2 linked regions of the Schizosaccharomyces pombe genome follow. Each later gene encodes a partner of the first gene's protein in a complex. Each region holds a gene or a part of one and is shown on either strand. Other genes may lie near its edges.

Evidence for each region.
Region 2: rpa34 (region 1) and ker1 share a complex: the UniProt entries of both Schizosaccharomyces pombe proteins name them as parts of the RNA polymerase I (Pol I) complex.

Annotation. Positions count from the first base shown.
Region 1 is NC_003423.3:1,761,586-1,765,213, reverse strand, and holds rpa34 (DNA-directed RNA polymerase I complex subunit Rpa34), read right to left. Parts: upstream 1,521-3,628; 5' UTR 1,463-1,520; coding exon 707-1,462; coding exon of another isoform or gene 661-706; 3' UTR 594-660; downstream 1-593. Other genes in the region: Sm snRNP core protein Sme1, read left to right, coding at 81-119, 157-246, 356-431, 661-710; TRAPP complex subunit Trs20, read right to left, coding at 2,192-2,370, 2,440-2,501, 2,562-2,644, 2,692-2,778; mRNA turnover and ribosome assembly protein Mrt4, read right to left, coding at 3,422-3,628. UniProt on the Schizosaccharomyces pombe protein: DNA-dependent RNA polymerase catalyzes the transcription of DNA into RNA using the four ribonucleoside triphosphates as substrates. Component of RNA polymerase I which synthesizes ribosomal RNA precursors.
Region 2 is NC_003423.3:3,472,850-3,476,458, reverse strand, and holds ker1 (DNA-directed RNA polymerase I complex subunit Ker1), read right to left. Parts: upstream 1,815-3,609; 5' UTR 1,731-1,814; coding exon 1,287-1,730; 3' UTR 800-1,286; downstream 1-799. Other genes in the region: sct1 (glycerol-3-phosphate O-acyltransferase), read right to left, coding at 1-445, 498-543; synaptonemal complex-associated protein hop1, read right to left, coding at 2,290-2,606, 2,654-2,879, 2,927-3,317, 3,358-3,598. UniProt on the Schizosaccharomyces pombe protein: DNA-dependent RNA polymerase catalyzes the transcription of DNA into RNA using the four ribonucleoside triphosphates as substrates. Component of RNA polymerase I which synthesizes ribosomal RNA precursors.

The sequences.
Region 1 (3,628 bases):
GTCAGTGCTGACAGGCCGCCAACTGCACCATTGCACAACCATCTATAGAATTTCGTTTTTTGATAAAATAAGTTTTCAAGATGTCAGGACGCGTGCAAAAAGTTATGATACCTCCTATTGTATGGTTAATTGTTGTTGGATAGCTAACTTACGCAGAATTTCATTTTCAAATTGTTGCAACAACATACTCCTGTTTCAATTTGGCTGTTTGAACAAACAGATATAAGACTTCAGGGACAAATTAGGGTAAGAAATTTACTTTATGGAAAATCCCTTCATAGTCGTTGGCCTAGGATTTTGAAATACCTTCATTTTCCCTACGACAAGTTGATGAATTGCTAACGATATATGACAGGGCTTCGACGAATTTATGAACATTGTGCTTGACGATGCTGTGCAAGTAGATGCTAAAAATAATAAAAGGGAGTTAGGTAAGCCTGATTTTAGACGAATAAAACCTTGGTTTATGTGAAAGAATGTTCGGTGGGATTTTATTCAAAAGTCTTTACATGAAGCAAAAATAATAATAGATGCATGTCTTAAGCTGATTTACCAAATTGCGTTTCCAGCAACCTTACAAATTCTAAAACAAACCGTTGATGCAGATTTTTGTTCTAAAATATTTAACAATTTCCCAAACCAATTGCTAACATTGCTTAGGTAGAATTCTATTAAAAGGTGATAATATTACACTAATTCAAGCAATCTAATTTTTTTCCTTTTTGCTGGATTTCTTTTGCTTTTTCTTCTTAGGTTTTTCTTCCTCATCCTTCTTTTCCCTTTTTCCCTTTTTCAATTCCTTTTGCTTTTCCTTCCCTTTATTTTGTAATTCCTCTACTGTAGCATCACCAGTCTCTTGTAAAATATGTTCTTTGATGCCAGACTTGGGTTCAGCTTCAGGTTCCGATTCAGGCCCTACAGCATCTCCAATCGGGCGAAAATGCTGTCTCAGATTCTTTCTTTGAGGAACAAGTGGTGCCTGCGTAGGTATTGTAATACCAGTATCAATGTTTTGTGAAATTTTGGGGGTCTCTGTAATCACATATCCAGTTTTGATTTCATTTGACGTATAGGAACCTTGCTCGTCAGGTAAAAACACACGTACGGAGCTTGTTGATTCTTCTCGGATTTGATAGGTGTTTTCGTTCTCCTGCTTTAATTCTACTGTAGGTTTGGAGCCTACCTTTAGCTGACTTATTTGGTCAGCGGACATGCCAGGCGGAAGTCGTACTAAAAAAACATTGGACTCCTTTTTCAAGTCATTAGTGGTCAAAACAGGCTTTCCTTGCACTTTCTCTAAACCAGCAATTTCTGCAACATCTTCTTGTGCGTTCGATTCGCCGTGATTGTTGCTCTCCACGGATTGTTCAGGTTCTTTCGACGAATGCTGATCCTCTATGCTAGAAACGCTAGATTCATCTTCTGAACTTTCCTCGTTTACAAATTCACTTGATTTTGCCATATCTACGCCCCAGTAGAATTTAAAGTGAAATTTTGCAAGCGTACCTGTATTTTGCTCTGGTGAGCTTGTGGGTCACAACGTAGGTATCATCGAGCTGGATAACGATGCACAAGGTAGTATTCATATTAAAGGAACTTTTATGTGATGAAACAAAAAATAAAAAGTATGTGGTTATAGCAAGAACTCTACTTCTTAGGTAAAGAAAAAAGTTAAAATGGAGCAATCGGTTCACTACTTTATTTTTTCGGCTTAAAAAATGTTGTTTTTCTAGAAATTAATATTCCCAACATCTTTCTTTATCTAGTAGATAGGGATTTTTTTTTTTTTTTTTTAAGTTGTCTGACAATTGCTTCTGTAAGGATCGGACTACTAAGAACGGTCGCAGCTTGACGCGACCAGTTGCTTAAAGGATGTAGTATTATTTTGTGTTTATGTAAAATGGATATCAATTGTAGGAAGAAGTGAGGTACACATAACTAAAGAACGACGTATATATATGTTGTATACAGAGTGTAAACACAATGAGTCAAAATTTAAAACTGAAAAAAAAATACATATCTGCAAACATTTCCTCTTCAATGCCTCATGTATGTGGAAATTGAACAATTATCAACCTCGGCCAGCATAGGCATTGTAGATGCCTCACTCTTACAAATAAAAAGGCAAGAGAAAGATAAATGCTTTTTGGAGAGAAAGAACGTGAGGAAGAAATCAACCAACACCTTTTCATCACAGATACCTTCTAGCAATTGAACGGACCTTTAAATCAAAAGCCTGAGAACGAATAGGTTGGTTAGGTTGATAGAAAGGACTCATTAGAGTTTTGATGTATAATTCGTGGAGCTCTTGGAAAAACAGTTTAATGTTGTCAGCACTTTGGTTTTGGTGAAGAAGCATAAACCTCATATCTAAAAATAATGAACATTAGTAGTTGTCCAAAAGTCACCCCAGATATTTAAAGGGAACAAAACACTTACTAGATGGCGTAACGTAAGCAGATATATACATTTCGTGAAATTGATCGATGGTTTTCATATAACTATACAAAAACAGAGTATTAGCAATGACTGCAAGAAACAAAAGAAATCACAAAACGTACAAGGCATTGCTAGTCCATTGTAGCTGATCCACAATGTCTAAACTCGAATGAACGATAAATTGATTAAGATGAGAATTTAAAGACTAATTCAGATATTAGCGTTCTAAATCAATAGTATTATGTGACATACCCTGTCTAGTTTTTCATTTATAGGCCCCATCTCTAATTCATAAACGGGATTATCTTTCGTTCCTATAATTGCTGCATATGCTGTCATTGTGAATGTTGGTGGAAAGGAAGTGTGAAGCGCGACACAATTTTAAAATGTAATTGTGTAACGTGAATTATACATTTTAAAAAGTTTTAGAAATAATTTGGATAGCTACTAAAATGATTCCATAAAATTTAAAACATTTAAAACTAATTATATCGATTTTACCTTAAAGTACAAAATGCGGCATATCGACGGTCAAAAGAACAATCAGTTTCGTTGTTTCCATTCTTTCGTACGTTACGAAAGCAACAATTGGAGTTTGGAAATCAACTTTTAGGGCCTTCACAGCGAAAGTGAAACTAGCAAACTAACTTTACCATGTCAACGTGCTACATGACTCATTTTAAAGTGTATAAAAATATTATTCATATATTTTCATCCGCTATGGAAAAGAAATAACCAATAATCCCCCAAAAGTAAGTAAAAGAAAAGAAAGAGTACATATCTCTATGTAAATTTATCAGAGCATGAACAAAAAACCATTGTTTTAAATCCAAAGTCCGTCAACTATGCAAGCACGGTAACACAGGGCTTTCACTAATCTAGTAACCCTTCTTTTCATTTTATTTTATCCGAAAATAAAAAGCAAAAAACTTTGATAATGCAATAGTGCACGCGATGTGTCCATTTAACTGTAATATACATTTTACTCCATGGCTTCGTCTGCACCAGGTGCGGATTGAAGAAACTCAACAGAAGCACCTTTCTTTGAATAATAGCCCAAAAGCCCAACCTTAAACTCAGCAGCCGTGATTCCAAATAACTTCAGCAAACGTGTTTGACGACTGTCCAGTTGTTGACCTTCAGTACAAAGAGGGAAATCAGCTAACAACGTCACAACACCATTCTTCAA
Region 2 (3,609 bases), 1.7 Mb from region 1:
TCTCCACGAAACTCACGTTTAACATATAATAAGGTATCACTTTTAATGGATGCTATATGAGAACTTCCATAATTATTAGGAAGAAGGAGAGTATCACCGACTGAATGCTTTGTAAACAGAGTATCTTTTCCGTGAATAGCAGTCTTATCACCTTCAGCTACGACAAATATCTTTCCTTCTCCGCGAATAGCTAAATCTTGCGCCCTTTCGACAGGAATTGCACCAAAAGCTCTCGACATGAGGCCAATAAATCTTTGACGATAACTTTTAGCAGCAACCAAAATGGAAGTCCTCCTACCTACTTCTCTACGAAGTTGTAACATCAAAATCAAAGGATCTACGAATTGGTTCGCATGCGGCGCGGCCACTAAAATTAGAGGTCCCTTGCGAGGAACTCTAAAAGAGCCTCGCGTTTTAACTTCACGGAAAAAGAAATCGATTAAAACTGGGGTTCATTAATTAGCGTTCCGGTTGTAACTAAATGATAAGTAACTTACTTGATAAAATCCATAAGCACGTATCATAAATAAAGGTATGTTGCATTATAATTGAGTGAACGAACCCGTCTTCAGGGTTTCAAGTAAGATTAAACGATACTAGTAAAATAATCGTGAGTGTTTGGGAGGGGCCTCCTGGGTAATTCTAATAAGGTCTACGTAAAAAAGTAGGTCTCACTATATAGTACGCTGAAGTTGTATAAGGCAACGCGTTGTTTCATTAGATAGTTATAAGTCACTAAGATATACATGTTAATATCAATCGACATAAATCAGTATTAGTAGAAACATTAAAGATGTGATGTGAAAGAAATAGTATATTAGGATTCACAGAGTATTGATTTGAAAGATTGAGTTTAGTAATTGATCTCGCCATGATCTTTGTTAAATTGTTATTTAACAATTATTTGTGACAACAATTTCGACAATAAAGCCTATATTAAAAAAAAAATCAATTAAACTATGGGATAAACAAGAATTTAATGATGAATTTAAAATCTTTAAGCATAATCTGATACTTGCAACTGAGAATGAATGGATAAGGACTTACAAAATATGCAAACTCAAGTACTGCGAGTAAAAAAGTTGCATTGTAGTTGTCCTCAAACACATGATCAAAAAAAACCTTAGGATTTTTTCTCTCACGTTTAAAAGATTTAATAAATAATCGCAGCCAAAAAACCCAATTTTTTTAATGAAGCGCAAACTATATTCGAAAGCTCATATGATGTTTTAGAAATCGAACAAAATAACTGAACCACAAATAATCAACACACCTTTAAATTTACTCTAACTCTGTTCTTTTTCCCCTACACCTTGAGTCGTATCCGCTTTGGCCTTACGAGCCTCTTCCTTTTCCCGTCTCGCAGCCTTCTTTTTTTCCTTTTTTAGACGCTTTTTGGTTTCTTTATCCAAATGCAAATCATCGTTCTCTTCCCTTGCATGTTTCAGACTTTCCTCTTCCTTGGTTTCCAACATTTCTTCAGGTGGTATTATTAATTCCTCTGTGGGAGGGCCTTGGACAGGTAAATTTAAAGAAATAAGCGGTATCTCTTCTCCTTTCAGGTACATCAAGACTCTATTTAACTGGGATAGAACACTCTCACTTCCAGATTTTTCATCTTGGAAGCGCTCAATCGTTTGGATGTAGCGATTGAGAAATTTACTAGACGCGTCTTTGTCTAGCTTTTCAGACTTTCGCAAAATCATTTTAGGTGGACATTCTGTCGCCATGTTTAAAACGAAAATTCTCCTGAATAATGCAAAGTTCTCACGAACACAGCAATAATGTAACTTCAGTATCAAATGGAAAAGTTCAAGTCTAATGTGTAACGTTCTATACTTTTTTTTTTTGACATCAAATCACCACACTATTCACACATAATGCAATTCAAGAAGTGCTTAAATTAGCTACGCAATTTCGTATTCGTTTAGCGCTGCGTAGAACTGCGATAAAATTTACTTGTGATCTAGTTTATAGTGGTATGCATGATTCTTGTATGAAGTCTATATTCATATCTCATGTTCGTATAAGCTCATAACTGAACCTCATTCCTCATTTCAATTACCGCCTATTTATAATGTCGTAAGCATAGTTATCTACGACAAGAAAATGAGTTTGTATGAATATTGTCTCATATCTAACGGATGATAACAGAACATGTTATTTATGGTAATAATGTAGTATAGCTAATAATAAATATATTATGTAAGTTTAAATTAATAGTTTGAGCAAATAGATGCAATACTGATCCATCTCAAATTGTTTGAAGATAGGATAAGTCGTATAAGTTTAAATCCTCAGAGGTTTCATGGTGTCTGTCTCTTTAGTGTTTGAAGTCTTAGAAACCTTTTTTGGTCTTTCTATTACTTCCATTCTTTCGGGCCGTAGAAAAGATCGCATATTTACACGTTGATTCTCTTGACGATAATTTTGAAAATTCAGATGAGATATCCATCGCGACGGTGTAAAATACTTCTCACGAAGATATGACACCATTTCAGGGCTTTTATTCGTAAAATATATCCATTTTCGTTTTTTTTCCTTATAGATTATGTTTTCGTTAACTAATCTTTCTTCAATTCTTTTGGCATCAGCATAGCTGCAATCTTAGATAATGTTAGTATATGGTCAATGAGTTGGTAAATTTCCTTACTCAGTCGCGCCGCTAGCTTTTGGAACCCTTGATACTCTGACGCCCAAATACACCGAATTGCTCGTCTGTATGCGACCAACATGGTCATTCGGTCATACAAACTAGATTCAGAATCAACTAACAAACATGTATAACATAACAATTGGTTTGGTTGGCGAGGATCAGAGTCACTCTCAAATCCATAGCAAGCACAGTGAACCCATCCATCACATCTTTCGCATTGAAACTGTGTAAAATATTGTTAGTCTTTAGCAGGTATAAACGATTACACACCATTTCTGAGTCTTCCGTCGAATCACCGCATTCACAATTCAAAAGTGCTTTTTTCTTTTCGGCTTTGTCAACTTTGTCACTCCCTGAAATGTTTTTTTTTAACCAATTGCTTTTCTTTACTTCTTCACAAGGATTGTTATTTTTTATTTCCCTTAATCCACGACTTTCATTCTGCATTTTCTCACATTTTCCTTGACTCAAACTTTTTTCAACTGATTGTTCATCCAATATTTGAGTTGAGCCTATTTCATCGTATTTCAAAGGCTGGAGGAACTTTTCGAGCTGAGAATCAATTTTTTCTTGAGAATCAAATAATGATGATTCTTTATTAATCATGATCTTCTCTGTACTTATCGGTACAAATGCATGAGAACAATGTGAAATCGCAATACTATAGATTAGTAACTTGAAATTTGTTTTAATTTACTTACCCATTGTTTGATTCATAAAAAGATACAATATCTTTGAATTCTCCTCGATTGAGCCAAGACATGCAATCTTTTGTTTCTACGGTATTTAAAAACACGCCAGCTTTAGTTGCTTCTCCTTTTGATAATTGAAAGCGTTCCATTTTTGTAATAATTTGTACGACTTTTTCTTCGTCTTTGCACTCTGTTTTTACGTTACCACTTAAAAATAACTTTATTACAAACCTTTCTGAACGTTGATAAGCTTGATAAAAC